Oryzias latipes: one gene and its partners. The protein of the gene in region 2 purifies or fractionates together with the protein of the main gene of each other region. This does not show direct contact. Links are inferred from orthologs where the notes say so. Each region holds a gene or a part of one and is shown on either strand. Other genes may lie near its edges.

Evidence for each region. The genes of interacting proteins can lie anywhere in the genome.
Region 1: the proteins of slc30a5 (region 2) and csgalnact2 purify together in Homo sapiens (co-immunoprecipitation; 3 studies listed by BioGRID and IntAct, counting the BioPlex papers as one, with this or other methods). This does not show direct contact. The link is inferred for Oryzias latipes from reciprocal best matches to the Homo sapiens genes SLC30A5 and CSGALNACT2.
Region 3: the proteins of slc30a5 (region 2) and slc30a6 purify together in Homo sapiens (co-immunoprecipitation; 5 studies listed by BioGRID and IntAct, with this or other methods). This does not show direct contact. The link is inferred for Oryzias latipes from reciprocal best matches to the Homo sapiens genes SLC30A5 and SLC30A6.
Region 4: the proteins of slc30a5 (region 2) and mettl9 purify together in Homo sapiens (co-immunoprecipitation; 3 studies listed by BioGRID and IntAct, with this or other methods). This does not show direct contact. The link is inferred for Oryzias latipes from reciprocal best matches to the Homo sapiens genes SLC30A5 and METTL9.

What each region holds. Positions count from the first base shown.
Region 1 is NC_019873.2:29,896,715-29,904,414, reverse strand, and holds the start of csgalnact2 (chondroitin sulfate N-acetylgalactosaminyltransferase 2), read left to right. Parts: upstream 1-2,443; 5' UTR 2,444-2,558; intron 2,559-3,823; exon of another isoform or gene 3,824-3,895; 5' UTR 3,896-4,037; coding exon 4,038-4,689; intron 4,690-4,758; coding exon 4,759-4,975; intron 4,976-5,044; coding exon 5,045-5,146; intron 5,147-5,211; coding exon 5,212-5,390; intron 5,391-5,477; coding exon 5,478-5,572; intron 5,573-5,647; coding exon 5,648-5,729; intron 5,730-7,700. Other genes in the region: proto-oncogene tyrosine-protein kinase receptor Ret, read left to right, coding at 529-686. UniProt on the Homo sapiens protein: Transfers 1,4-N-acetylgalactosamine (GalNAc) from UDP-GalNAc to the non-reducing end of glucuronic acid (GlcUA). Required for addition of the first GalNAc to the core tetrasaccharide linker and for elongation of chondroitin chains.
Region 2 is NC_019870.2:25,538,272-25,546,257, reverse strand, and holds the start of slc30a5 (zinc transporter 5), read left to right. Parts: upstream 1-2,620; 5' UTR 2,621-2,692; intron 2,693-2,810; 5' UTR 2,811-3,022; coding exon 3,023-3,099; intron 3,100-5,875; coding exon 5,876-5,998; intron 5,999-6,092; coding exon 6,093-6,159; intron 6,160-6,290; coding exon 6,291-6,376; intron 6,377-6,443; coding exon 6,444-6,531; intron 6,532-6,868; coding exon 6,869-6,956; intron 6,957-7,030; coding exon 7,031-7,107; intron 7,108-7,184; coding exon 7,185-7,355; intron 7,356-7,986. Other genes in the region: annexin A1, read left to right, coding at 206-328, 398-454. UniProt on the Homo sapiens protein: Together with SLC30A6 forms a functional proton-coupled zinc ion antiporter mediating zinc entry into the lumen of organelles along the secretory pathway.
Region 3 is NC_019873.2:10,850,850-10,858,657, reverse strand, and holds the start of slc30a6 (zinc transporter 6), read left to right. Parts: upstream 1-2,551; 5' UTR 2,552-2,582; coding exon 2,583-2,766; intron 2,767-5,961; coding exon 5,962-6,008; intron 6,009-6,842; coding exon 6,843-6,929; intron 6,930-7,808. UniProt on the Homo sapiens protein: Has probably no intrinsic transporter activity but together with SLC30A5 forms a functional zinc ion:proton antiporter heterodimer, mediating zinc entry into the lumen of organelles along the secretory pathway.
Region 4 is NC_019877.2:20,100,371-20,108,172, forward strand, and holds mettl9 (methyltransferase-like protein 9), read left to right. Parts: upstream 1-2,545; 5' UTR 2,546-2,560; coding exon 2,561-2,740; intron 2,741-3,277; coding exon 3,278-3,468; intron 3,469-3,540; coding exon 3,541-3,750; intron 3,751-3,912; coding exon 3,913-4,097; intron 4,098-4,179; coding exon 4,180-4,415; 3' UTR 4,416-5,686; downstream 5,687-7,802. Other genes in the region: ER lumen protein-retaining receptor 2, read left to right, coding at 7,283-7,373. UniProt on the Homo sapiens protein: Protein-histidine N-methyltransferase that specifically catalyzes 1-methylhistidine (pros-methylhistidine) methylation of target proteins.

The sequences.
Region 1 (7,700 bases), on a different chromosome or scaffold from region 2:
TTGTAAATATGGACCATACATAAACATAGATATACTTTTTTCCTATTTATAATCTATTCCTCCTAGCCACGCCTCATTTTACGTAACCTGTAAATAGCCTCCAGCTCCCGATCGCAGCTCCTCATTGGCTGATGGAGGAAGCGTCGTGTCACATTGGAAACAGGTCCGCTCTGACTCAGTCGTTCGTTTTGGTTTGGAGTCCAGGTTGTCTTACATGTGCAGAGTTTCTTATATGTGTCGGCATTTGATCTATTTTGACTCCATACCCTGAACATATAAACAGTAAGGCTTTTGAATGCAGCTCTCAAGTGACGCTTATTTAAATCTGTGATTTTAGCTTCACACGTTTGCGATTTCCAACCGTTAATGGAAGGCGGTCCTTCACGAAAGGATGCTTCATTGATGAGAAACTGAAACCAAAGCCCCGTTAGTTCCAGAGGCACTGCAGAGTTTGATTTGAGAGCCTTACTCCCTGCACACTGTTTACCTGTCACTGAGTGCAGAAAAATGATGTGTTCTCGTTTTTAGGCATGTCATACCCCAACTGGCCTGAGAAGAGCCTGGTACCGCTCAGCAGACATGATGCCACTAACCCAGTCTTTACAAGATATGCCAATGATAGTGTTTATGCAAACTGGATGGCTTTGCCCTCACCCCCAAAAGCTGTGGACACGCTTGATAGCTAAAGACAGCCCTGTAGAAAGATGACTAGATATTCTGTACGGCTGTACATAAAAACAATCCGATGGTAAAGTTGGTTCCCTTTTATTTCTGCTGCACGGGTATTCAGCTTTACAAAACCAAGTCTGTTCGCTGCACAAGCGCCAGGGTCAAACAGACCCGTGTGTTATGGAGCTCTCCACTGTGTTAGTCGTGACCTCACAGGTCACGTTGGCCAAACTGTATCACTGCATGACGATTGTCCCAGTTTTTCGTCGGTGTTGTTGTCCTTTAAGTGCCTGTGATGCTTCTACAAAAACCTCCTGCTGTCAGAGTGCAGCACGAAGACCAGTTCCAGTCCAGGACTGAACGGGGACACTGCACCATCACAGGCGGTAGACAGCTGCGACTGAGTCGGGACTGCTTCTGAACGTGGAAAGGTTCTACTGTAGGGGTTCCTGGAAATGTCCACAATGTTTCTCCAACAAGATGTTTCCAAGCTGCCAAACAAAAGAAGCTCCAACATGTTTTAGGAACTATCTTCTTAGTTTTGCTCTGGTATTTATGTGTATGTTTGCTGTTGTTTTTTTTACATTCAAACTTTAATCTAATAAAGCTGCTCTGTTTAAAGGATGTGAGACCGTGAGTTTGATGTTTTCAGCTCCTTTGTCCAAGTTTCCAATCACTGTCATGCTTGTGTAAGCCAAACTCTGTCACTGCTGTTCTGTTTTTTGATTGTGTTTCACTTATTAATAAACATTCAGATTTGAACCTTGTCCTTTCAACGTTTACATAAAGATATCTGTGGCACCATCGGCTCGTTAAAAAGTCTCTCTGTGTTTTATTTCTCATCTCACTAAACTATGACACATGCAGAAACGTTTGTGAAAAAAACAGATAAAATCAAGTCTAGAACTTCAAAGTTTGGTTCAAAAATAGAACAAAATTGATTCAAATTCTTTGATGTTTATTACATTTGGTGAAATCAAGATTTTAGACTTACTTCAAAGTAAGTTTGTACTAGAACTATCATTGTGATATTAGGTGTTCTAAAGTTTCAAAAATATTTTAAATCCACAAACAAAATTTTTTCATTTCCTTCAGGCTTAAACAAATGTTTGTTGTTGTGACAAAGAGGAAAAAGGACTCGAGCAGTAAGATTTAAACATTTGTATTTATGAGCTTTTCATCAGATACTTTGTGTTCCATGTTGTACTCTGACAATATACAACATTTTATAAAAAATGACATTCTTACATTTCTGAAACTTCTGTGATGAAGCCGAGGTCAGCAGTTCCCATGAGGTTCTGTGTGTTCCAGTCACATCTGATGGCTGATCATGGAAGTTTGTGGAAACATTTACTGCTTTACTTATTGAAAGTCAGTAATTTAACATGATTTCTGTTAGTGATTAAATCTGGAAGCATTAAAGGTCCAGTTCAGAGTCGGTCTAACTGTAGTTAGACTGTAAGTCATTCAAATCTAGATTTATTTTATATTTCAGAAATATGGGAAAATGTAAAGTAATTACGTACATTTATATATAATTTTTAATTTATAGTGTGCTTAGCATTTTAATGAATCCTCGAGATGCAACTAAAACCAAAAACATCCAACAGTTAAAAAAATGAACTAAATTAAATTAGCATAAAATGCAATAATTATATAGTAATAAAGATAAAACATTTGCAAAAAGGAATGTTTTTGTTGTGAGCCTCAGCATGTCTGATGACGTAAGGCGTCAGCGAAGCACCCATTGGCCAGTTGAGGACCGGAAATTGACTCCGACCAGCTTCTTTCTGTGCTCCGTGGCATTTTGTAGCGGGACAGGCAGCAGCTGCTTCCCCAGCAAACACGCGGCTTTAAGGCGAGGAAGAGATGAAAGATAAAACAACCAAGTGAGTCATTTATTTTTTATTCAACTCTAGTTCATAAAAATGCTGTTTTTGACTATCAAAACATGCTAAACACATAGCAAATCTCCGTAGATAGCTAAGCTAGCTTTGAATTGTTCGGTGTTTCCGGTCGCGGTTTTTCACAATAATTTCACACTTCCTGCTGTGGTTTCTGATGGTTTATCGCTAATTTTTCACTTAAAGAAGAAAATAAACCCTCTGGAATTTGTGTTTAGTGAACTATCCTTCTATATACTGGAGATAATATTGTGATTATAATTATTTTTATGCTCAGCAAATGTCACGCTATTCAATCCGTGAGCTATTTGAAAACCTATTGAACTTTAAAGCTATAGCTGCTCTGCACAATTTAATAAAGAGCTTGACGTGGTGCAAACATGATTTCGGTTTAGTTGTTTAATTTTTCTGTCTAATAAATCAGCGAGACTAACGGTGATGATCCGGATCGGCTGTTTCACCGGAACCGAACCTTTGACGTTGATTTACGCGCCTGTGGCTCAGAGGACGGTGACGGTTTCTGAGCCCAGAACTGAAGCTGGGAGACCTTTAAACACAAAACCACTAAAGGGGAAAGTTATAAATCTTTAGACAGACTTCATTAAAAGACTTCTCTTTGTTTTGTTTCTCGATGTGGTGATTTATTCAACACTTTGCTGAATTTATTTTTGTTTAAACTAGTTTAGATTCCTGATGACATCGTTTGATTTATTTTTATTCCCAAAGCTGTTAAACTTTACGATCAGCCTCTCTGCCATGAAGCTCCGTTTGTTCGTATTTATTCGTTCATTCTCGTTCAAACTGAGTTTTTACATGAAGGCTCATGTTGTTGTTCGCACGTATTTGAAGTTGAGTCCCGTTATCTGTCACGCGCCCAGGTGCGTGAAATGTTCTTTGGTGGTTTAAGCGTAATCCTAACAGTAACTAAGTTCAGGTTCACCTGTTTCCAAAATGGCGTGTGAATTTTTAGCCGTAATAACAGTGAGTTTCTCAATATGAGAGCATATAAAAAAACGGTCTTCTCTTATTTTGTAAGGTAGACAGGTATACCGGAAGTTAGCATGACCATCTCGTAGCAGCTCGTGAGCCGCGGCGCTAGCTCTGCAGGTGGAGCTGATCACTCCTGTCGTTTATTTGATCACTAAAATAATAATTGAAAATGGTTGGACGTTGAATTCGTGTGAATTTCTGTTAGAATCCGGTTGTTTGTCAAAACGCTTCAGTTCTTCTGTTTCATTCTCATCTTTCAGTCAGGAGCACTGATTTCAGACCTGCTTCCTTTGTCTGATTGGCTGTTTCGTCTGCGTCCTGGATTCTCACAGGAGCCCCCCATGGAAGGACAGATGATCTTCAGCTGAAGATGACCTCCATGCATTTGCATGTCTCTCCTGGAGGCGCCTTGGGAGGATGTGAGCGGAGGACACGGGGATGAAGTCCTGGCCGCTCTAGTCTGATGAGGACGCCATGGCCCGGCGCGGGTTGCCGTTTCAGGGCCGGGTCCGCTGGCTCTTGTTGGGCCTCCTGCTGTTGCTGGTGCTGCTGCTGTTTGCCTACATGCTGGAGTGCACGCCGCCTGCAGACGTGAGCCTGGTTCTGCCCGGCCCGGACGGAGGGAACTATGGGAAGGAGTACTACCAGGCTCTGTTGCAGGAGCAGGAGGAGCGCCACCTGAGCCGGGCCTCCAGCCTCAAACGGCAGATCGCTCAGCTGAAGCAGGAGCTTCAGGAGATGAGCGACAAATTAAAACTTCTGCAGGACAAGAAGGAGCCCCCGGGAGTTCAGGCCCTCGGAGAGAATAAGGACCAGGAGCCGGGGGACCTGCTGGAGTACCTGCACTCCCAGATCGACAAGGCGGAGGTCAACGTGGGGGCGCGTCTGCCCAGCGAGTACGCTCTGGTGCCCTTCGAGAGCTTCAGCTCCTCCAAGGTGTACCAGCTGGAGATGGGGCTGACGCGGCACCCAGAGGAGAAGCCGGTCCGCAAGGATCGGCGGGACGAGCTGGTGGAGGTCATCGAGGCCGCGCTGGACATCATCAACAACCCCGACGAAGAGGACGGGGTGGAAGACGACGCCCCCATGCAGAGGCAGACCTACACAGACGCTCACTTCACTGAAGGTAAAGCTGTCAGACGGGGGCGGGGCTTCTCTCCTGGCTTGTTACTGATTGGCTGGTTTGCTCCGGCAGGACTCTACAGAACGGAGCGAGACAAAGGGACGCTTTACGAACTCTTCTTCGCCAAAGAGGACTCCAGCAGCTTCCGGCACGTGACCCTCTTCAGGCCGTTCGGCCCGATCATGAAGGTCAGGAGCACGTCTGTGGAGACGTCGGGAGTCATCATCAACATCATCGTGCCGCTGGCGGGCAGAGTCGACACGTTCTCTCAGTTCCTACATAACTTCAGGTGAGGACGGAGCCCCGCCCACAGCCAGCGGTCTGGTGATGTGCTGATGAGACGCCGCCTGTCTTTCAGGGAGGTGTGTGTGCAGCAGGACAGGCGGGTACATCTCACCGTGGTGTACTTTGGGCAGGAAGGCCTCCAGGACGTCACGTCATCTTTGGAGAAAATGTCCAGGTTGGTCTTTTTCCAGCTGCGAAGCGTTTCCTGGCGTCGGTCGTGACGTTTGCGTTCTGGCACAGAGAGGAGAGCTTCTCCAATTACACGCTGGTCCCGCTGGAAGAGGAGTTCTCCAGAGGCCGAGGTCTGGACGTCGGCGCTCACGCTTGGACGGGCGGCGACGTGTTGATGTTCTTCTGCGACGTGGACATTCACTTCACGCTGGAGTTCCTCAGCAGCTGCCGCCTCCACACAGCTCCCAGTAGGTTGGACTGTTCTCTGCTCCTGCGTCGATGACCTGATGACCTAATGACCTGATGACCTGATGACCTGTCTTCATTCTTTGCAGACAAGAAGGTCTTCTACCCCGTGGTGTTCAGTCTGTACAACCCGGCCATCGTCTATGGGAATCTGGAGCTGGCGCCGTCTGTTGACCAGCAGCTGGTGAGAGGCGTAAAGCTGGACTTGGTCGGTTTTACTTTGGAAAGACAGAGTTTCAGTCCTTCCTGTTGTTTTCAGATCCATAAGAAAGATGCCGGGTTCTGGAGAGACTTTGGGTTTGGGATGACCTGTCAGTATCGCTCAGATTTTTTAAACATTGGTAAGTTATTGTTATTTCCTCCATATATTCTGTAAATCTGTGCCGGTACCGGTCTGTTGGTACCAGGCTACAATGGGGAAAATCACTGATCTTTATTATCTGATTCTGAAGGAAGTTTTATTTTGAAAAAGTGGTTTCTTTCCACCACATCCCAGTCATTCTTGACGGATGTCATGCCGCTCCGTCACGTGTTGGAAATCCATCCGCTGCTTTCTTAAAGCGGCCGCTAAACTGAAACGCCCAAGCGAGCAGAATGAACAAAAACAAACATTTTTGGAAAGTTTCTTATGGCAGAAAAGAGGAAACACAAGAGGAGACTTCCACTTCAAAATAAGAGCTGCACTTAACAAAGACCAGGAGTCTTTACTCCAAATATGGGTTTATGGTGACAGTTGATCCCACAGACCATAATAATAATGCAGAATATTCAGAACCAGCTGTCTGTTATGAAAATGCTGCTAATAAAGCGATTATATTTAGAAAGCAACAACTTTAGTGACAGCTTTTTAGGTATTTCTTAAAAGCTGGAGGCTGAAGTTGGAATCTGATTTGTTTGTTTAAAGCAGGGGTCTCAAACTCGCGGCCCGCGGGCTATTTGCAGCCCCCAAGATGATATTTTGCGGCCCCCACCTTAATATGAAAGTTTAATGTTAATGCCGCCCGCCAGTTTGTATGAATGACACCTTTTCAGTTTTGTGCGACGAGCTGAAGAACCAACCAATCACAGTGGGGTATAGGACTCTTGGGGGCGGGACATTGATCAGGCTTGAAAGCAGGAGAACATTTAATTCAGGTAACCTGACCGCCCCCTCCCCAGACCACATTAAGGAGTTCCTTACTTCACTTTTTAGAACGTATCTACATACATGCAGTCAGTGCTGAACTTTTCTCTGGGCCGCACAGACCCGGAGGAGGGCTGAGGTTATGGTTACGCGCGTGCGGCGTATTAACCCCAACACGGGTCTCTCCGCTCCCGCAGGAGGAGATGGGTCACTGCGGAGAATAAATGTCTCACACCTACATGCGTGACAGCTAACGGGGCTTTAGCATTAAACACGTGCGAGCGACAACACGATGTAGTCTTAGACACACTGAAAATACGTAGAGAAAATGCAACGATAGACGTGAGATGAACCAGGGCCGCGCCTGGATCCGCCTGGGGGGGGGGATGAAACGAAGGCAAAGCTGCAGCCAGACTGAAGGAGGACAGGAAGTTGGAGTTAACATTCAATTAGGTTTTAATTTTCCTCTCCCCCTCAGTGTGATCTGTGTTGTTATATCTTTAACCCTTGTGTGGTGTTCGGGTCTGTGGGACCCGTTTTCATTTTTTATCAAAAGAAAAATGATACAATTAATTAATTTTTTAAACTCAAACTCACTGGCCTTGGCTCATTTTCTGTGAAGAACATATATCAGAATACATTTTCAATAACCACACACTGTATACCCCCCCAACACATTTCTATTACATATAAGATGTTCGGGTCCACTGGACCCGGGGCTAATAGAAGTGTGGAAATTGATGTTTTATGTACCTACACTCTTTCCTCCACCTGTGTGGGCCTGCTGTGTGTGTGTGGGTGTGTGTATGTGTGTGTGTGTGTGTGACCAGTGAGAATTGATTTTCCTGAATTGTCTTTTTTGATGATGATGTAGAGGGAGACGATTCAGAAGAGGAGGTTTCAGAATTAGAGGATCACATTTCTGAAAATTCAGAGTCTGACAGTGACTCTGAAGAAGTTGATTAGATTGGGGCGGCCGTGGAGCAGCGGTAGGGCGGTCAACCCATGATCGTAACATTCCAGGTTCGATTCCCGCCTTGCACGCCCATGAGTCGAAGTGTCTTTGGGGAAGACACTGAACCCCACCTTGCCTCTGGTGGTAGGCGTGCGCCTGTGTTTGGCAGCGGAGCCACCACCAGTGTGTGACTGGGTGAGTGACTGTAAAGCGCTTTGTCCTTGTAGGAAGAAA
Region 2 (7,986 bases):
AAGGTTTCTAGCTATGTAAAACTGATCATATAGATAGATAGATTACTAATAAGTAACGTATTTTCTTTTGAGAATCGGTTTTCAAATGTAGTAAAGGTTTAGACCATGAAATATCAGGAAATCTCTTAGTTTGGCTAATACCATAATATCCTAGCATGCCTGGTGATGGTATAATAGGATCCAGCATGTCATGAATCCGTTACAGGGCAGCGGCACGCGGGATAACACTTTGATCAGGATTCTGGTGAGCCGCTCCGAAGTGGACCTGAAGAAGATCATTGAGGAGTACAAGGCCATGTTTGGCCGACGCCTGCAGGAGGACATACAGGCAAGAAAAAGAGAACTTTGTCTTTTTTGTTCACAAGGTACTTGTGCTGAAAGTATTTGTATTTTACAGAAAGACACTAAAGGAGATTACCAGCAGATCCTGCTGGGATTGTGTGGACCTCACTGAAGATCTGAACCCATCACTTGGACATCCAAAAACTTTGCATCAATTAAAAACCCAACATACTATCTTAACATCTTGTGAATCTCGCTATTCTGTTGATGTATCAATAAAGTGCTATCCCAAAACATCTAGTTTCTAACCAGATCAATAGACAAAAGAACCAATTAAAAATTCTTGAGTAAAAAGGGGACAAGAAAATTCTCCATTGATTGGTAAAAATGGAGCATATGAATGTTTTTCTCAAGATCCCAAACTGTTAAGTCACACCTGAGCTACGTGCTGAGCTAAAGCAAAGTAGATAAAATGAAGGTATCCAAAAATAGTTTATATTCATATTTCTATATTTTGTAATATTGCTCTGACATTCTTCTACATCTAAATAAAACCTGAGACCCTGTGTGCACTTATGGAGACATGACCCTGCGAAGGCTTCCCTTATTCAAGAACACTGGTAAAAGGAGAATAGATTAGGATCACTCCCTCTACTTCATATCGATTTCTAATTAAAAATGGAAATGTTTTCTTGAAACACCTATTGGTTTTTGTGTTAATGTTTTATTTTTGACAAAAGGGCATCAGTTTTCTTTTTTGCACACAATTTTAGAATTTGAACATGTTTGGAACAGTTAAAGTAATTCATACTTCTACTACAACAAAGAACATCTCCCAGCCGCCTCATTGCTAAAGGATTTCTGCAGTTTCAGAAATCTGTCATCTTTTTTTCCTCTCATTGTGTTGATATATTTTTTAAACAGCCTGAGCAAGTTTAATGCTTTAATTTCCCTCCTTAAATTGTTTAATTTACAATGAGCATTTCTGATCATTTACATACTAGAACACTGACGGAGCTTGCATAACAGAACATTTAAAAAAAAAACTGTTGTATTCAAGATAAAGTGTACATGAAATGGCATTTAGGTATTTGTGTTTTGTGATTTTACAATTCTAAAATTTTCTGATTTTAAGTTTTTTTTCACACAAAGCTTTTTATAAAATTCAAAACTCCCCTTTGATAAATTTGAAACTGGGGGTTTACACTCGAGGATTTACATCTTTGAATGAAATGTTTGAAACAATGAAACAGAGGTATTAAATAGTCTACCTTTTACTGTTCAGTGAAAATATTTCAAATTTAACACCACTATTTTAGGTGCATGGGTGTCAATTTGTAGTTCAATATTTAAATTCATATCTCATAGAAAGTCCATGAAGATCTGCATTAGAATAGTTATGAGGGGCCAGGAAAATATTTAAGATTTAAATGTACTATTGAAGCTCCGCATGGAGAAAGTTTTTTCTTAAATCTATTCATTTTTTTATTTATTTTTTGTTGCGGGGGGGGGGGGTTGCTCCATAAATCCATTAAGGTGTGTATTAACCCATACACAAAATAACTGTAGTGTCATCAACCTATTGTGTTACTTGTCGAGGTCCTTCTGACACAAGTGAAGGTTCAAAATCTAATAAACAGTTTGGGTGAGCCTTGTGTCACATCAGAACTGAAATCCTTTGTATGTACCCTCAGGAGGAGAAACTGAGCGGTTGGAGAAGGATAAAAAAAAAACATTATTGAGACCACAAAGCAGATGTCTTACATAATAAGATCATTTATATTGATGAATGTAAAGCCAAAATCTATGGAGCCTTGGACATGACATTAAACAAACAAATTCACTTTTTGTATGCACAAATCGCTATATCTTGTGGCCACAAATCATCATTGTGTTCCCACATGTCATTATTTTGTGTATCACGAATGCTAATTTGAGGGAAGAATTTATTATTTTTGTTATTGTCTTGTTCAGCGCTCTGTAAAAGTCTATATAAATAAGAGTTTTGATTATAAAAACTTTCTTAAACAGATCAAAAGCCTTGCAGAAAGCTAGAATTAAAGGAAACCGTGATTTTCTGTTAACAAATTTTATTCCAATGAATCAAGAAATGGTTCAAAATTATTATGTTTTGGTATTTCTTCAACAAATCCTGATTGAGTTTAATTCTTAAAATTCCAGGTTTTTAACTGTTGACCATACTATCAATTGTTTTCTTAAGTTAAATCAAAGGATTTCAGTAAAATTTAATTCAGAATTGTTTTAGTGCTCTGAAAACTTAAGGTTTTAATAAAGATTTACCAAAAAAAATCAGAACATAGTACCGCGCAGGCGCAGCATTTACCCACAATACTCGCACGTGACGTGTCCGGAAGTGTCGTGGCTTAATGGACAGACCTGTTATTTTAACGTAATCCTTTTATTTCTTCGTGGTACTTTAGTTATTTTAAGCGAAACATTTTGAATGATGTTGTCGTAAGTTATCGGCCGGACCGGTGTGTTTGTTTTTCTGTTTATTTGTCTAACAGCTGTTCCAAACTACAAGGAAAACCTCTTTTCTGCCGAACCAGCCCAGCTGCTGAGCTAGCTAAGCTAACAGCTAACTCTTACAGAGAGAAGAGTTTGGAAGAAAAATGTCGGACTTTCCTCCTGAGGCAGAAACGCTCTGCTAGCCTGACGTGGGTGGCGGTTGTGGCAGCGTTTCATTAGCGATGTGAAGTGTTGGTGTCCGGGGCTCAGAATGGACTCGGAGGAGAAGTACAGCAGCAATGTCCTGTCCGGGGGGAAGCTGGGCATGGTGGAGGTGCCGGACTCCAGGTAACAGCTGCACGTCACCCTACCTGAATCATGGGCCCCACTGCGTTTCCAGTGTCATCCTTTGATGAGCTTCGGACTCGTGTAAAGTGTATTTCACCTTTTTGCGTTTGATTTTCAGAGTCCAATCCAGAAAAAGAAGGGAAAAATCGGTGCTATGATTCAGATGCACAATGAAGTCGTTTTGCAGCAAAAAGTTCCTGAGATCATCATGTTCTGAAGCTCCTGTGAACCTTAAGATTCACAGATGCAAACAATCTAAGGAATAATAATCAATGCAAGTGAAATGTTTGTCATCAGGGATGACTTGATTAATGTCATCATGTTGATCTTCACATAGAAAATGCTGTAAATCACTTCATTATATCTTTGTGTCGATTAGCATTTCAAACTATTTCATCTCTTTTTTTTGTGCCAAATCTGCTTTGACTTTATTTTTAACTCCTTATCTGTTCAGTTTAGTTATGTGAAGAATGTTTTTCATAACTAATCAAAATGTATTAAATAGAAATTTGCCAAATTAACCTATTTTTTGAAATTGGTGTTAAATCAGAAATCAAATTGAAAACCATCAAACAAAAACATTTGTTTTGTTACTCGGGTCAAGATTTTACACCCAGGAGTCTGTGCTTTGTTAGACCGATTAGTTTAGTTTTTATTTTTTTTATTTATACCACTACACACAATTTGACCATATTTTTTTTAAAGTTTCCCTCTTCCTATTCCATATTAAATTTGGGTCATAAAGAAAATAGTGTTTTGTTTCTCGTACACCTTGTTAATTTGTTTTATTTATTCTGCATATTTTTCTACATAAAATCCCAAAGCACATTACAGAATTACTTAAAAATCTTGTGCAATTGAGATGAAAGAAAAGATCCTAAAATGAAAACAAACCGCATGAACAGAATTACAGAAATATGAGAAATGCAAGCAATCGAACCATAAAACCCAATCCCCCCTAAAGCTGGTCTGAATAAGAAACTGCTTAAAGGGAAAGGGGGGGGGTCTTCCCCAACTATAAAACAGGTTTTAGGCACCAAGAATAGGTGTTGGCTACACCAATTCATAGAAACTTCAGAATAAACTGGTTTAATGTTTCTAAAAACAAATGGTAAAATCCTCCTTTCCAATCGAAGGGCAAAATAGAGAAAAGTCTGTTTGTCTCCTAGCTGATGTTTAAAGTCAGCATCCTGCACAGTTTGAAAACAAGTGAGTCACACAAGCATTATTGAAATGAGATGGGGGAAAAAAAATCTTTCACTGGTTAGAATGTGATAAAAGTGTCCCTAATTAGGATCTATGTCTCATATTATCAAAGCAAATATAGAGGTTTTCGAGGCTTCACTGGACAGAAGAAACTGAATAGCTAATTTTCTGGGTTTTTATGAAAGATCAGTTTAGTTTTTGCTGAATCCGTGTGGAGAGTACGATCAGCTAACCAGTTTTGCACGACTGCTACAATAAGTCAAACAACTTGCTAAACCCCAAATCAGTAAAAGGATATAAATCGCTGCATGCCACCTTTTTATACAAATATCTATCCATTCATCTTCAGAAACCGCTGAGTCCCTTTCTGGGTCACTGGGTTGCTGGTTCCTATCCCAGCTACTGGTAGCTGAAGTTGGGGTACACCCTGGACAGGTAACCAAACTGTTGCAGGGCCATGCTATCACATTCACACCAAGGAGCAACTTGGAGACACCAATTAACCCGTGAGGCATTGGACTGTGGGAGGAAGCTGGAGAAAACGCACACGTCTATGTACGAGGAGAGAGAGCACGCAAACGCCACACAGAAACGTTCCAGTCGGGATGTGAACCAGGACCACCGGATGCTGTGAGGCCTGATGCTGACCACTGCAGCCCCTTTTATAGAAATCCTTCAGATAGTTGATAAGTTGACCAAGCGAGCCAAGAAACAAAAATACAACATCAAACGGAGGCCGGAGTAGCTCCAGAAAAAGCTTTGCGATGCATTTCTCCTCTGAACTTGGCATTCAGGTGCAGATAAGCCTCCAATGTCAGTCAGGCTCATGGACTCAGTTACTGTTAAGGTTTATAACTGTTGAACACCTCATGCACAAGAAGCTCAGGTGACGTTTGTCTGCAGCATTTTCTGTCCAACGGTCAAGTTATGGCCATTGACTGTATAAAAGAACTGGACTGAGAGGCCCCTGCCCCCCTTGCTGGTTCCAAACAGGAAGTACTTGCTGGTTCCAAGAAACCAGAATCTCGTTGACTTTTATATAGAAATCAACAGCTGTTTGTCAGAATTAGCATTCATGCTGTTAGCATGTTGTTGTTGATCTTATTCTTTTTCAGGATATTTTTATTCTGTAGTTCAAGTTATTCTAGTTATAAACTGACCAAATAGAAGGAGGTGGTTTTATGTTGAAACTTCAAAACGTTTGATCAAGAGATGCTCCTGAGCCCACTTTCAGTGGTCGGGGGTGTGGGCTTCCAACAAGCTCACTCCTGATTGGTGAGAATGGTTGCCATAGAAACGTTGACTCAACCTGACTTGCAGCATTCACTGCTTTACTGATGTCGACTGAATGGACTTCATTCGGTTGGAGCTGAAAGTAAACCTTTTTCTATGGGTGACGTCACACTCTGTCCAGTTCTCATTTACAGTCAATGGTTATGGCTGAAGTTCACGCTCATTGATCAGTTTTTTGTTTTTATGCCAGTGGGTGATGGTTTCCAACAGGATCTAAACGTCTGAGAATAAACAGCAATAAACGTTTTCTTCATGACGCATGTTTGTCTCCTGACAGGCTGACGAAGTACATCGCTCTGCTGGTCGTCTCCAAGGTGCTCAAAGCTTTAGGAGTCTTTGAATCCTACGACATCTTAAAGTTTGTCCACATAGTTCAGTTCATCTTCATCTTAAAGTTGGGGTGAGTTTCTTCATTTCAGAAGCACCGGGAGTTTGGTGTGTGTGACTGCAGCCTTTGGGATGTCATGAGCTGCTTCTTTTTTCATTTTTTTCAGGAGTGCTGTTATTTTGCTTGTCTTTCAAAAGCCTTTTTCATCCGGAAAAATCATCTCCAAAAGACAGGTGTGTTGGATTCCCTCAATACCAAAGATTTGCCAGAAGAAGGGAAAGATAAAAAAAAAAAGCTGTTCCCTTTTGGATCCCTGACGGTTTGTGTTGATCATTTGAGAGTTTTTTCCCCTGCTGTTTTTCAGTGGATAAAGCTGCTGAAGCACGCCGTTTTCAGCTGCGTGGTTTCCCTCCTGGGCTTCTTCGGCCTGACTCTCTGTGGTCCTCTGAGGTAGGATGCACTGTGGTGATGTGGAGCTGCAGCTGCTTCTGTGCGTTTACCAGCGTGTCTCCTGCAGGACTCTGCTGCTGTTTGAACATGCTGACGTGGTGGTGGTCGCGCTCCTCAGTGTCCTGTTTACCAACTCCGGAGGAGGACCGTCCAAAGTAGGACCGCCCTGTTCACTCACACTCTTTACAGACTCTCATTTTTAATGCATTATTGTTGTGAGGAGGACTGGAAATGAGCTATTCATGGATTAGAATGACATTTTCTGCAGAGATTCTGTTCTTTCCTCCATTTCAGTTCTGTGAAATCTTAACTTTTGGTTCTGTAAGCATCTTTACTGCTTCTATAGGGAGGCCATGGGCTAAATCATAGTTTAACCATGGCTATTGTCTATTGAAATGCTGGAAAAATACTTTTTTTTCACTCTGTCAGTCTCTGTTGTTTCCTAAAAAAGAATCTGAGTTTTTCTTTTTTCTGGATGGTGTCTCTGTTCAGACCAGAGGAGCTGCTCTGTTCATCATCGCCGTGATCTGCCTCCTCCTCTTCGACAACGACGACCTCATGTCCAAAATGGGAGATCACCGTATCCTTGGTTGCTGTCCTTCTGCCCAACTTTTCTGCTCGCTGACCTGTTAACCTTGACAGATGTCTCTGCAGCTGAAGGACATCACGACAGCGCTCTCACTCATTTTCTCTACACGGCCATCTCTTTTTTGGGCGTTGCAGATCATAAAGTACGGTTCTTTTGAATGTCTTGTAAAGCCAGCACAGGCTTTGCATCGTGACGGTCCCATTCTCTGCTCCCTGTTAGGGTGGAGTCGTGCTTCTGGTGGTGTCTCTGTTCCTGAAGGTTGGCTTCCACACGGCTGCCAGGAAGTTGTCAGTGGAGATCGGAGGCTCCAAGCGTCTCTACGCCCTGGACAGCTTAGTTTCTGCCGTGGTGCTGCTCCCCTGGGTGATATTCCTGTCTGTAACCACAGAAGTGAGTAAACTAGAGGAGATGGGACTTAATTGGTCGTTTCAGCATGGCAATCCTTTAAGAGCATCCTTAAACAAGACGGCGTCACAATAAAAAAATATTTTCTAAAACACTGGTTGAAGGGGTGGAGTTGGCTTTTCATGATGAGGTCTCACTCAGTTTGCTTTGATGAACTTTTCTCCTGTTTTTTGTGTTCGCGACACTCTGGTTGTGCAGCTCCGGTTTTGTTGATGTATTCTTGAAGTGAGTAGCCGTCCAACCGAGCTTTAGGAGGTATTAATAGAGCGCGGACACTGTTGGAGCCCCAGAATTTTCTATTCCTGAGGTTTTTCTTGGTGCCATCTTAACTTTTCTCTCTGCTGAGCTCCTGTGGCCTTTTCGCACTTGATCAGAAATAGGGATCCATCACTGTATATGAGAACTGGACTGAGTCAGTGTGCCTTCCCCCATAGAAAATGGTTGACTTCCAGTTCCAACCCAATGAAGTTAAAGTTAAAATCCCATTAGCTGTCACACACCTAGGTGTGTGGCATTTGTTTTCTGCATTTGGCCCATCCCATGGGGGAGCCGTGAGCTGCAGACACAGCCGCGCTCTGGGACCATTTGGTGGTTTAACCCCCCCACTCCAACCCAT
Region 3 (7,808 bases), on a different chromosome or scaffold from region 2:
TAAATGTGAATGAAACAAAGCAACGTTTAAGCCTAAAAACTCTGAATGTCATCCTCCCTTTTGGAGCTGAGAATCCTCCACAGCCAGGCATTAAGGAGTGTTAGTGGGAGTTGGTGTGCACAGAGCACGCCTCATCACCTGAGACTGTCTAGCAGCTCACCTTGGCTGTTAAAAACAGCACGCAGAGCCTTTTAAAGCAGATTTTAAAAGCAACCCTTCTTGAAATTCAATATTATTATCAGAAACTTGAAACTGTAACTAGACAATAGTTATTATTCCTGAAACTAGTGCAGCTTTTCCCTTGTTGTTCCTGGGCAGTGGGTGCAGCAATTGTTACATATACTCGTTATTTACAAATTTGCAAAATCAATTTTTTGACCTTTTAAGCGTATTATAATGTTCATTCCTCACAAAAAACAACCCCAGGGTGGTAAATTTGATTCATTCACGCATAGAAAGACCAAAGTCCACACTAGGGTTATTGTCTTTTCCTCTCACATGATTTCATGCGCACCTCAATTAGTGGTACAAGAATCCATTCATGAAAGATTAATCTAACTTTGTGGGAATAAGCTTGAGTTAAATTCTTTTACCTAAATGGATACAATATGTACAATATCTTTTAATGATTTGGCATTTAAAAATATAACTAAAAATGCCTTTAAACATTTTATTTCCTTACCAGCACTTTTTATTTACATTAATTAAAACATACAGCTTCAAACATGAAACCTTCATCTTGGGTCTTTTAGACTGTTTTGTTTTTTGTGGTAAAAAAAATCAAGTTTTGTTTGCAGGTTTTGAACGTTTAGTGAACAAAACACACATTCCTCCCTTTGGTTCACCTTCAGCCTTTTGGAATTGAATCGATTTGGTAGATGCGAGTTTGTGATTGGACGTCTTGTTGTTTGCATCACGTGTACATAAAAAGGCAAAGACGGTAGAGACACAACAGGAAGAGAAACCAACAAAGTTGACCAAAAGACGATTCAGTTCCCTATTGATTTGCCTTTGATGCCTTTTTACTAATCTTGTTTGTGTCTGTGGCTGGCAGCCAATTCTGCTATTACCATGGTGTCTGGATTTTTCGAAACATATCTGTGTCATTTACATCCCTAACTCCATCTGAGCAGAGAAGAACCAGAATTTCCAGGTGTGAGTACACTCCTGGATTCAGCTATCAACTCTTTTTTGGGATTGGAACGATTATCAGGATCAGAACCTTTTTTTCCTCCTCTCCTGTTTTGACGTGGCCTCACTCCCTCCATCCCTGCACATTTTAATGACAGTTACCCAGGGCCCCATTCAGCTCAGAAAAGGGTGGGGGTGAAGGGTGCTCTCCATTCAGCTCACGACATGTCCACAGACATAGCCCCTTTACACACGCCGAGGATCTTACTAACTTTGATGATGGTGGATAGAATTCTGGAAGGTCACATTTAGTCTCCATAAGAAAAAATGACAATGGAAAATAAAAATGTGAGTTCTGCACATTTAACACATTTTTTCTGCCTTTTGATTACATCATTGGGTCACCTCTAAAAGCTCATTCGTTTGGACTTTTTTGTTGTTAGGTAATCGTGTTGTGCTTCAGGATTAGAACAACTCTATTTTCTATATACCGTAGTAAAAATAAAAAAAGAAGACAGGAAAGTATCGTGTTAAGTATTCACAAAACATGTGAAACATCTAAACCTCTTAGCTTCTTCAGCATAGAATAATGAATTACTCAAGAGACAAAAAGAAACAGCAAATTTTCTGATTTTAGATGTTATTAGGAAATTTTAAACCTTTATTTTATATTTTTGATTGATTGTGTTCTTATTAATTTTCCTATTCTGAGATATGGGCTACCATAATAAATTATGTCATGGTGGTTATATATTAACCTTTACCATCTTGAAACAGCTTCTAAACAATTGGATTGAGTGTTTTCAATGCATTTATTTAAATTATTCATTCATTCATTCATGAAGAATGTTTTTGGATGGGGGGAGGAAGCCGGAATTCCCAGAGAAAACCCAGGCAAACACGGGAAGAACATGCAAACTCCACACAGAAAGGTCACCCATTGGTGTTCTGTTTCGGGTCCCCCAGCCGGCACTTGAACCAGGGGCCTTCTTATTGTGAGGTAAAAGCGTCACCGTGCAGTGATTATAATTTAGTATTTAACTTATATCCAACTTTTTCTGTTTTAATATTATAAGTCAACCATATCTGTAGTTAACTGCCTAAAAGCAATTGCCAGCATTGATTGCTGTGAGAAAGTATTGCAGCAAAGTCTAATTTATTTATGATGACCTGCAACACATTTCAAAATGTTTGATTCAATAGTTTTTAATCTCATGTGTTACAACATTTATCTAACTCTACAAATGTATTGTGTCCTCTATATTTAAATTATCTTTTGGCCAACATTTGTCTGAATTTAACCACAAACTTGCTCTATTTGAAAAAATGTTTGTACATTTTATTAGTATTATTATTTTTATGTTCGTTTCCTTTTAATTTTGCTGGAACGATTTTTCTTACAACGCATGCGCAGGTGAACCGAAGAGGCTCATGGGTACAGGAAGTCCAAAATGGCGATGGACGCAATGATGTCCACGTCCACCGGTCTTTCTTACAGCAATGTCGGGGAGTTTTACCCCCGAAAGTTCGGCCCAAAGCCGGACGTGGTGCCCTCTGGGGTGACGGAGAGGAAGGTGGGACCGCTGGATAAGCCTGACATGGTGTCGGTGGATGTCCTAAACCTGCAGAATCCAGGTTTGTTATGCTAAAGCATGCTAACAGCTGCTTCCGAGTCAGAAAAAGAAATGTCCTCATCTGTCTGCTTATTATCCGTCACTAATAAGAGCTTTACGGGCTTTTATGAAGACCCCCCCCCCCCCCCCACACACACACACACACAGGCTGTGTTACCGTCTGCTAATGTCTGAATGTGGCTGACTGGTTTGGTGGACCGCTGTGTGTGTGTTAGTTAAGTGCAGGTGGAGTTGAAACACTTGTCTGATTGTTGGACAAGCTGGAGAAAAACTAAACGACTGTAGGTTAAAATTTTGAATTCATTTATTTCTGTTTACTTTCTTGCTTTTAGGGGGTTTAGTTTTGAACCTCTTGATTTGTTTGTTTTTTTAGCTTGATTATTCAAAAATGATCCCAGCTTTATGACAAACTGGAAGTAGCCATCAGAAGATGGTACACTGTGGTCATAGAGGGATGGACATGGTGACCAACAAGACTTTGATGTTGTAACCATGGTTAATTGGTACTAAGTGGCCCAAAGTGTGCCAAATAAAAATATCTCCTGACCATTATACCACCACCACCGCCACCAGCCTGAAACGTCAATACAAGGCAGGATAGATGTCCTTGAGTGAGGGGAGAGGGCAGCTGATGATCCTCTGCGCTGTCTTTACCACTCTATGGAGGCTCTGCCGTTCTGCTTCAGTGCAGTGGGAGAACCACACTGTGATGCGTTAGGACAGGATGGTTGAGCGGTAGAAGGTTACCAGCAGCTCCTGGCTTACATTGTTCTCTTCCTGAGCCTTTTCAGGAAGTACAGGCGCTGCTGTGCCTTCCTGATGACAGTCATGGTGTTGTTAGACCATGTGAGGTCAGCCGAGATGGTGGTGCCCAGGAGGGTGAAGGTGTGGACCCACTCCACACAGTTCTCGTTGATGTAGAGTGGTGGTGGATCTGCTCTGTTTTTCCTGAAGTCCAAGATGATCTCCTTGGTCTTGGTGGTTTTCAGGATGAGGTTATTATTAGCCTGACACCACCTGGACAGTTTCAGGACTTCGTCTCTGTAGGCCGTCTCATCGTCCCCAGAGATCAGCCCCACCACAGTAGTGTCGTCTGCAAACTTCACTGTGGTGTTGCTGGTGTGGGCTGGTCTGCAGTCTGCTGTGTAGAGCGTGTACAGCAGAGGACTCGGCACACATCCCTGTGGGGAGCCTGTGCTCAGCATCTGGGTGGAGGAGAAGTAGAGTCCTAGTTTGACTGTCTGTGGTCTGTTTGTGAGGAAGTCTTTGATCCACGAGCAGGTGAGTGGGTGGAGTCCTAGTTCAGACAGTTTGCTGACCAGAATGTCAGGAACGATCGTATTAAAGGCTGAGCTGTAGTCCACAAAGAGCACCCTGGCGTAGGTGTCTCTGTGTTCCAGGTGGCTCAGTGCAGTGTGGAGGGTGAAGGAAATGGCATCCTCCGTTGATCTGTTTGCTTTGTAAACGAACTGGAGGGGGTCAAAGGCTGGAGAAAGGCAGTCTTTTATGTGTCCTTGGAGCAGCCGTTCCAGACGCGTGGTGATGACAGGAGTGAGTGCAACTGGACGGTAGTCCTTGAGGCAGGCTGTGGATGACTTCAGGCAAGCAGGGATGGAAGCCTGAGCTAGCGACAGGTTAAAAATCCTTGTGAAGACTTGAGAGAGCTGGTCGGCACAGGCCCGCAGAACCGTCCCAGGAACTCCAATTAGGCCCAGCCGCTTTCTTGGGGTTTACCCTGCTGAACATCCGTGCCACGTCCTGTGCCTGCACAGTCAGGGTTTCGGAGCTGGAAGCAGAGTGAGGATGAGGTGATGGGACTTCAGACTGCAGTGGTGTGTGTGGTCAAAGCGTGAGGAGAACGCGTTCAGCTCTTCCGCTAGTGCAGCGCTGGAGTGTGCCTCGGTGCTGGTCTGTCCCCTGAAGTCCCCTGAAATACTCAGACTAGCTCAGCAACAATGGTTCAAAGTCACTTCAATCATCTTCCTTCCACATTCTGATGCTCGGTTTGAACTACAGCAGATCATCTTGACCATGTCTATATGCCTAAATGCATCGATTTGCTGTCATGTGATTGGCTGATTAGAAATTTGCGAAAAGAGCAGTTGGACAGGTGTACCTAATAAATTGGCCACTGAGTGTATAGTGTTACAGTAATAATATTTAAATAATAAATAATAAACCAATTTAACATTAATTTAAAATGCTGATTTAATTAAATCTTTGAAGAAAAAAATAGACAAAAAGCAACTAAGTGTTTGCTAAATGTTGCTGTTGTTAACATGTTCTTGTGGCATTTTTGTAATGATAAAGGATATATCGTAACAAAATTAAGCTCATATGGCATTTTTCAGTATTTCTTTATTCAAATTGTTCTGAATCAGGAGCGGACGAAAACATGCTGTTTGAATGAGAGCTTACTTGTGACAGAAAAAATGCTGGATGGGCTACAAGCTTCCTGCTTTCAAGCATTAGGCTAATTTCAAAATATGTATCAATTAAAAAGTACATATAAAATATATCATCAAAATAGGAGGCTGAAAGGGTAGATCCTTCAGTCTGATTTTCGAAATCCTCAAAGCAGCTGAAAACCTCACGGAGGCCCCCCCGCAGAGACGGTCCACAGAGACGGTCCACAGTGTGGACGGAGCGAGGCTTCTCTGTGGGCTCTTGTTTTGTGAGCAGACCTCCACCTGGGGATCTGAGGGCTTAAAAAGATCAATGACAAGAAGGCCTAAGACTATTAAAACATTGATAAACCAATTCATGTTTTTGTTTTTTACGCAGGTAGAGATTGTTTCTTTTTAGATCTCTAGGGAAATTACGTGGGATTCTGTTCTTCCAAACACTTATTAGATCACTCACACAGATTGAAACACACATTACAAGAATACATGAGTAAACAATGTGTTAAAATACAACAATTAACCCAATAAAACAGTTCAAAAGAGAGAATAAACAGTAATTGGACATTCAGTGTACCAAGCCTCCATCTCAAGACTGTTCGAAGCATATATTCCCTCAGTGTGTCATTCTATAGCTTCAGCTGTTAGAAGGAATCGATTTTGTGCTCCAATTAAAACAAGGATAGCAGAAATTTGGTTTAATCATTATAAATAAGTCAATGTGATTGTGAGTCTGTCATTTGTTGTCATCTTGGGGTTCTGTTTTTGTTCTTGACGCCTTTTTTCCTCCTCAGATGTGCCCATTCACAGGAAGAAGCAGGAGCACGACACCTATGTTTTGGTGAGTGTGCTATCTGAGGGGTAGGGGAGTTCACACAAGCACACAAATGCACCAAACTTCACGTTTTTCTCATGATGTCGCACATGAAACATCTGAAACAGAAACTCTTTGTTCTGCCAGCTAAATGAATGTAGAAAACATGAGAACAAAGTCATGTCGAGAGTCATCATCCTCACATGGAGAAAACCTGGAAACATTTTACTAAGAAGAATCAACCAACCAACTAAACTGAGTCCAAGATTCATCCAAGAAGCTTTTTTTTACTAGTATTTCAAAAATTTGTGAGATCTACCACAGTTACAGTTTTATAATAAAGTAAATAAAATGTAATTATTTAAATTTAATGGTAATTCATAGATTATTCTTTCTTAAAGCTAAACTTTAAAGTTGGAAGATTTGTTCAAACAAAAAAGGAAATCAGAAATGATCTGTGGAAACCTGGTCCAAGTCCTGCCACTTGGGGGCAGTATAGGTCAACTGTTGGGCTAAAACTGGGGGGTTTCCTTCATGAGGAAAATAAATTTCATCTGAAAACAAATCATGTCTATTTTTCTAGATTTTGTTAACTTCAGAAAATCTAACTTGCTGGTTCTTTGACATGAACAGTCAAACAATCAATGGTCATTGAACGCACCATCATACCATTACAGCAGCAGAAGGTCCTCTCTGTTGCAGACAGAGGCCTTTACTTCTAATGGGATGTTTGATGGCGTTTTTAAACATGAAAGTGTTCTAGTTGTTTTCCTGAATACACATGGATAAGCGTCAACTTCTGATCATTGCATTAAAGTGATTTATGTCTGATGACCCTTGTTGGTTTGCTTGAACCCAAAGGGCACTTTTCATCCTTTTCGGAAGTCCAACAGATCCGTCGTTGGGAAGTTCCTTCAAGAAGTTCGCCTTGTTGCCTCGGATCGACGGGTAAGTTTCAAAATCTAGTTTGTAAGCCATGATTTTTGATTATTTATTACTCCATATAGTTAATCTTTAGCTCATCGTCAGTCCTGGTACTTTCCATTCACTGCTTGGCAGGAGGAAAACCCGTACATTGTAATCACATTACGCTGTAAGCCTGTTAGATCGGCCGCATGCATGTTTAAACGTCACTCAGCTTCCTGTCTTTAAGTCAGCGTTCCTGCTGACAGCGGTTACAGATGATCTTTACATCAGACTTTTTATATATGTGTGTGTATATGTATATATATATATATATATATATATATATATATATATATATATATATATGTATGTATGTATGTATGTATGTATATATGTATGTATGTATGTATATATGTATGTATATGTATGTATGTATGTATATATGTATGTATATATATGTATGTATATATGTATATATATGTATATATATGTATGTATATATATATGTATATATATGTATATATATGTATGTATATATATATGTATATATATATATGTATATATATATATATATGTATATATATATATGTATATATATATATGTATATATATATGTATATATGTATATATATGTATGTATATATCAGTGACGTGCGGTGAGGTTAATGGCTTGTGAGGCACTGACGTCATCAGTCAGATTTACAAACATATGAACCATACTGAGTAACTTATTCACCATTTAATTGACAACAGTTAACGTGTTTTGTTTAAAATATCATTTCAACGTGTTTTTTTTTCATATAACTGCAGCATAGAAAAAAGCAAAAACGTTATTATAGTCTTACCTTTACTTGTAAATAAAGTCCATACGCCGCTCCTTCTGAAAAAATGACTTGCCGCTTGCTATCACTTATTCTATTA
Region 4 (7,802 bases), on a different chromosome or scaffold from region 2:
AGCACCAGCCAGATTGCAAGGAATGCTGTTACAGCTGCAAAGGTATGAACTCACTGTCACATACACGCCCGGCAAACACATGTTCATAGCCGATGCCCTCTCTCGTGCTACAGCAACCAGTGACAATGACTCCACAAGTGAAAATGGCTGTGATGAGAGAGTTGTGTATGCATTAGAGGCTACAGAGGCACTGAGTGAAGACACACTCAATAGACTGAGAACAGCAGTTGCAACAGACAGTGAACTACAAGCTGTGTGTGAAAAACACATTCATGGGTGGCCAACTAAACGTAAAAGTTTAGACAGAGCACTATATTGCTATTGGCCCATGCGACACAACATCAGCATTCACAAAGGCATAGTCATGGTAGGAGACAAGATCGTGATACCACAGAACTTCCGACAAACTATCCTGGAAAAACTGCACATGGCTCATCAAGGTATACAGCGCACGAAAGCTAAAGCAAGAAAAGTGCTATACTGGCCTGGTATGTCCATTGATATAGAGACTATGATTCAAAATGTGAACAGTGCCAGCAAATGCAACCAAAGAATCAGGCGGAGCCACTTGTTCCACACATGATTCCGGAGCTGCCGTGGATGAAAATTGGAGCAGATATTTTCGAGCTGGAGGGTCAGCCGTATCTGCTGTTAATTGATTACCTGACCAAATACCCGGAGGTTCTCAACTTACCAGACAAAACAGCTTACTCTGTCATTCAAAAGATGAAGTCAGTGTTTGCAAGACACGGGATTCCCAAAGAAATAGTGAGCGACCATGTCCCATTTGCCAGCTATGAGATGAAATCATTCGCAGATGCTTGGGAGATTAAGCTCACTCATTCCAGCCCTGGTTTTCCCTCTTCAAACGGAATGGCGGAGCGAGCCATTAAGACTGTCAAACATGCACTAAAGAAAGCAATCCAGACCGGCACTGATCCACATCTAGTGATGTTATCACTGAGAAACACTCCAGTTACTGGATTGAACTTGTCACCCGCACAAATGTTGATGGGACGAGTCCTGCGCAGCACCCTGCCATGTTCTAGTAATGTGTTGAGACAGTCAACTCCACAAAACGTGCCAGAAAAACTACGAGACATGCAATCAAAGCAAAAGTTGAACTTTGACAAGCGTGCAAGACCACTACCTGTTCTATCTCCTGGTGACACTGTGCATATGCAAACCCGCCGCGGTTGGGAGCCAGCAGTCATCGTTCATCAAAGAGAGGAACCACGCTCCTACACCGTGCGAACACCATCAGGTAATACTCTCAGGAGGAACAGAAGGCATCTGAGGAAAACACACTCAAGTTTGTTTAAGGACACAACTCTGAATTTGGACTCGGATGGACTATTATCTCAAAACCCAGAGTCAGTTGATCCACCAGCATGTGATTCCCCACAGAAATCATCTTCAGAGAGTATGGAAAACACAGCACCGTACTTCACACGCAGTGGTCGAGCAGTCATACGTCCTGCCAGATACAGAGACTAGTTAATGTGACAGTTTTGTGTTCATACTGTTGCTTTGATTTGTTTAATGGTTACGTAAAAGAAAAGAGTATGTTCGTTTTAAAACATTTTAAGAAATAAGTTAAATGTTTGTATGTCGAAGTTTCAGACTACTGCACTAAGATGCACATTGTTAAATGTAAGGTTGTTTACAATCTGAATTTGCCTAGCCATTATGTTAAGAGCATAAGACCGTCTAATGTTCAAATTATTTAGAGGGTGCTTTTGTGTTTAAACAACTGTTGAAGATGTTATGACTAACATGTCTTGGGAAAAGAGGGATGTGGTATATTGTGATAGACAGTAATAACCACCGCCACCAATAGATGGTGCTGTCGGCCTGTATATGCCATGAGGGGTTTCAGAGTAAAGTACATGTAAAAGCTCTTGCACCGAAAGCTGTGTCCCTGTCGTCGGTCCTAATTAAGAGACCCGCTGATAGCACCCACGCTAAGGTAACTCGGAGCAACATCATATAAAGTCACAACAATTATTATTATAATTATCATCATCATCATCAGTCTAATGGAAAACATTTTTTTCCAAGTATTGAAAATCATGATCGTATTTGTTATTTTTATTGTTTTTACATGTTTGAAATAAATAAATCACTACATACATTCGGTATAAGTTAGATACTCTGTATGATTAATGGCTTGAAATGTGGAACCCCCTTTTCAGCAGGAAAACAGAAAGTTGCCGGTGTTTGCCGACAGGGGGCAGTAAATCCCCAAAGATTCGGTGCTATGTCAACCCAAACACCCAGAAGAAGAATGCGGATATGGTTGTTTTTATTGTTAAAGGGGGGAGTGTTTCTCATCCCGGCTCAGTTTCTGCCGTTTCAGCTCAGCAAACAAAGCTCCGCTTGGACTAAGATGGTGCGTAAATAGCAGCTTGCCTCCGTAAAGTCCCCCCACGCCCACCTCAGGTTGGTTTACAGTCCTGGAATAGGAGACGTTTCTCCTCTCGGGGTTTTCTCGTCTTACCTGCTCTTGTCCCTCTGCTGTCGGCTGCCGCTCTCTCGGCTCTCAGACATTGTTTTCCGTATGTGTCATCTACAGCTGAAGACTCTGTTTTTTGTAGCCTGGCTGCTGGGCTACGTGGCGTTTCTGCTCTCCATCAGGAGAATGTGGACCGCTAAGCACGCGCGCAGCCCGCTCGTGCGCTCTCTAGTCCTGAATATGGTGAATGAGCACGAGGCCAGTGGTGCCAGGGAAACACACGAGGTACGACTGTCCTTATTTTTTTTCTGAAAATATAAAACTACAAAATCTAAATTTACAGTGTTTATTTTAAATCCAAGAATGTCCTTATTCGAATGTGTCACGAATTTGTCATTAGTTATTTATTCGTTGCTCGTTTAGCCTCTTTGCACTGACCTAAATGATTCAGAGGGATGCTGAAAAGAGAAACTTCTGTTTTGCAAAAGAAACTATGCTGAAAGAGACAATGTGACAGTAGTTTTAAAGATGACTGGGATTGAAACACAAGGGGGGAAATTGGTTTTGCACAGGAAAGACTATTTTTTAACATTTAAATAGGAAATAATTCTTAAATTCTACTTTCTGCTGTGTAGTTTAACACAGCCCCACCTCTGCTGAGCTGAGAAAATTCAATCCAAACAGACCTGAACTGTTTTCAGGGAGGGGCTGTGGGGTAGGTAAAGGGTGGTATTGTATGAGACTGGTGACAGGAGATGGAGTTCACCTCAGGACTTCTTAAAAAGTGTTGTGAAATCAAAACCTCTTGTTCTGTTTGTTCAGTGGTACCGATGCTGCCCAGATCTGCTGGGAGAATCCGTCCGGCCTCTCTTCATCCAAAGCCACTTGGACTCGGACACCACGGATTTTCTCAACAGGAGCGCAGAGAAGTCCGGCTGGCTGTTCACGCAGCTCTACCACTCGCTGGTGTCCACCGTCCTAAGCCCCGTTTTGTCGCGCACCTCCATTAACGGGTGAGCGCTAGTGGGTGTTTGAATTGCAGCTTGTGTTCCTCTTCCTGCTCCTGACCCTCCTCTGTGTCACAGGGTTTTGGGGAGAGGGTCTATGTTCGTGTTTTCGTCCGAGCAGTTCCAGCAGTTGCTCCGGATCGGCCCAGACTGGACGGCAGAGAGACTCCTGGACCTTGGAGCTGGTGATGGAGGGGTCACAGAGGTGATGGGAGTGCATTTCAGGCAGGTCTTTGCAACTGAGGTGTCTGTGCCAATGAAGTGGCATCTGCAGAGGAGGAACTACAAGTGAGTAGAAGCATATCCTAAAAGCTTTCACAGGTTCCTTCCCTTCAAGCCAATACAAGAATGCAACCACAGAATAACACTGTGTTCTTTTGGGTTGAAATTAATTGGCAATTAGAAGTTTTTCCTCTCTGTCTTTTTGTTGTCTTTTCCCGTGTGCCACAGGGTTCTGGGTATAGACGAGTGGCAGCATGTTGGATTTCAGTATGATCTTATCAGCTGTCTGAACTTGCTGGACCGCTGCGAGGATCCACTGCACCTCCTGCGGGAAATAAGAAAAGCCTTGGTTCCCAAAACCGGACGGCTCGTCTTGGCTGCTGTGCTTCCCTTTCAGCCCTACGTAGAAGTCGGTCAGTGAGGAATCCCATTTCTGTCTCTTCTGCTGACGTTTCATCTAGCTAGAAATCCAAGCATCGTTTCTCTGCTTGACAGGCGGGAAGTGGGAACGACCAAAAGAACACCTGAAAGTTAAAGGAAAGACGTGGGAGGAGCAGGTGACCGATCTGTCCAGCGAGGTTTTCCCGCGGGTGGGGTTTGAGGTGGAAGCGGTGACGCGTCTGCCGTACCTGTGCGAGGGAGACATGTACAATGACTACTATGTGCTGGATGATGCGGTTTTTGTTCTGAAGGCCTCCGGCGACTCGGAGCAGTCTGTTCATGAGCTCTGAACACAACACGGGGCCCAAAATTTCTTCTCAGTACCTGGATTTTAGTGCAATTCTTCTTCTTCTTCCTCATGCATTTATTCATCTCGGAAATTTAGAAGCAGGGAGTTGGGCGCAACACAGCAGTGATTTCCTTTTTCTTTTTTTTTTTAGTTTGTTATACTGTTATTTCAAACGAAAACCTAAGGGGGATCATCCTTTCTAAAAGTTTTTCTGTCTTCCAAGTCCATTATTTGTGATGTAAATGTTTAACTGTCAACGTTTTAACCAAAATTTCTGACAATATTTGCATAAACGGTTCAATTTATAGTACTACATATTTGATTTCACCATTGCACAAGATTTTTACAATTGCCTGTTCACCCTCTGAGACATAAAATCCCACAGAGGTTTTCCAGGTGAAATATCCCAGAGGTGAAGCACTTTATGAGCGTTTCACGTTGTTCCCCCCTCAAGGTTGGTAATGATGGCAAGATCCCAAGCATTAGTTGCACAATGCTGGACGCCGCTCCACTAAGATGCATTTGCTACACGACTGCAGGGAAAACATGCCGCTTGGCCTATAGGAGTGTCACACCTTTTGGCATCTTTCTGTTGGATTATCAGCGTAATTCTGTGCCACGTTTGGCACCACCAGATCCTAAACTTGATCATATTTTACGAACTGTTTCATTTCCAGATCACTCGTAATGGATCTATGCACCTGACCAAAACAGTTTTAACAACTTGAAATCTTTTCCATCCTTCGATTCAGTATTAAAGCCAAACCTCAAGCTAAACTTTATGGAATTCCATGCTTTTGTTTTGCTTTGTTGCACTGAATTTAATATCAAGTAGTGAATTTCTTTCTAAGTGACAACAGGAAACCGAAAAGTGCTGCATACGTTTGATATATTCACAATAAGAGTATCTGATTGTAGCTTTAGATCTATAAATTCGATCTGTTTTTACAGGATGTTTAGGTTGATGAGTTTTTATTTATCTTTGCTGTTTGGGGTTAAAGACAGGATTTTTAAAAGCCTTTGCTCTCATCTTCAGACCTTTTTCTTTTTCTTTTAATGGTGATGCAACTGCAGCTTCACTGCTAACACTGTTTAGTGCAGTTTGTGTTTAGTATTGGGGTAACTGGAGTGGCTGGGTTTAATGATGGAGGAAACATTATCTGGTGCTTTGTGGTTTAATTTCAAACCTTGCTGTGAGTTTAGGATGATGTCGGATGACTGCAATGAATAAATGTGCCATTTTGATTCTAATAAAACCCTTTTAAAAAAAAAGGTCTTTGACATTCTTGACTTGTTTTTCCACCTTTTCAACAAAACTCCTAGTGCCGGTCTTCGTAATTAAATACTTTAGAACAGAGTTGAAAGGCTCTACATCTACAATATTTTCTTTCTGTTCTTTAGATAATTCCCACACAAAATTATTAAATTATTCTGTGTAATAAATGTTATATATATATATATATATATATATATATATATATATATATATATATATATATATATATATATATATTCTTAAAAATTATTGTGCTTAAAGCATATTTTTTATTAGAGACTAAATGGAGACATTGAGAACAAATCAGGAGTGTTGATTCTCCTAAAGTGTTTTATCATAGTTGCATTACTTAAAAAAAGATCTGAAGTTTCAATATCAAAACATTTTCCAGCATTCTATGGTTGGTAGTTTGTGATAAAACTTTGTCTTTTTTATCTTCTTGGGCAAAAAAAATGTATATAGCCCAAATTCCCAACAACAGTCGTCTCAGTGGGCTTTGTACTTGTAATTGTATGGTAAACATACAATCAGAAAGGATCATAAATGCATAGAATCCAATAGGATAATGCTAAAACTTTAACTGAACAGACTAAACTAAACTGGCATCCTTTATTTAAATATAACTAAATGAATTAGGATTTTGGGATAGTTTTGACATATATACCATTTAATTGTTGCAGACCGTACAAAGTGTGATAGAAAAAATAATGCATTTCAGGAAATGTTCTTCAATACATTAACAAAACATGTAACATTAAAATTCCAACGCTAATGCTTATTTTTCACTATTATTCAAATCATGTCATAATAAAAAAAGTAATTATTCTTTGGTTTAACACATCTGCAAATCCAGAGTGGATTTGAAATTTTCCCCAAGCCGGTACTTGTTGATGCAAGCTGTTATTGATGATTCAATGTTTGTTTTAAATGTTTAAGGTAAAGAAGGTAATCAATGGCACCTTTTCATGTAAAAGACATATATACTAAAAAAATGAAACGTAAAGTTTTAAATAAACTCTGCTTTTACATTTTTAAGATGCACCGAAGTACCGGTAGTCAAAATTCCTGACTCCAGTGAAACAGGACATGAGAAGGATGCTGAAGGACGGGTTAGATGGCGGTGGGAGCAGCCAAAATGCAAAGATTCATACAGTCAGAATCTATTACTTTTTAAAGCCATCATTCAAAAACATCACTTTTGTAAGTAAAGTGTCACACAAAGTCGATATTAAATTGATTTACAGACTTTGTAGCTGACTTGGTGGCGTGATGAGCTCGAGTTTACTATTTTTTTTGGAAAACCCAAAGGTAACATTCGTAACATCCTTTATGCAAATCAGGGGTTTCCTTCTTCTGATTGGCTGAGCCACACGCGTTTCCAGCTTCTCATTGGCTGATATGGTGTTGGCCACGTCCCCGGGCCACGTCGCTCTTTCCTCGCCATTTTCCCCTCTTTAACTGCTAGAATCGTGCTATTCTGCTGCCACCCTGTTGTTCATCCTTATCGGTTTGGTTAGAAATCGTTACCGGAGACCACTGGGCTTTTTTGGAGAGTCTAACATCGGTTTCCGAGAAAAGGCGCTTCCTCCATCATGAACATTTTCAGGCTAACCGGTGATCTGTCCCACCTAGCAGCCATCATCATTCTGCTGCTAAAAATATGGAAGACCAGGTCCTGTGCCGGTGAGTACAGTCCAACTTTGAATTCAGAACTCTCAGATCGTATTATAAAGTTTAAATTTTTGTTGTTGGACCGGGTTTTTTGTTTCAACTTGACTCGCTGCGCTTCTTAACCTGTCAACGGCTATTGTTAGCTTGTTTGCTAGCACCGGTGTGTTGTCATAGCGCGCTAACGGCGTCGTAGCTGTCACCGTCAGACAGGTGTGGAGGCTGAAGCCCACACTTAACGTTTGTAAAGCAGCTGTTCTTCAGTCCGCTTTCTCAGAAGTCACACCAGCAGAGGGCTGCAGTTTTTTCCCCGGACACCCGCCCGGGGCCTCCGTTGCACTTTACTCTCCCCGTCCAGCTCGGCGTGACCTCTGTGACGTGGCAGCGGGGCTCCGCGTTTGGACGTGGAAGCGGTTAAAACCGTCATAACCATCCGTTTTTGCA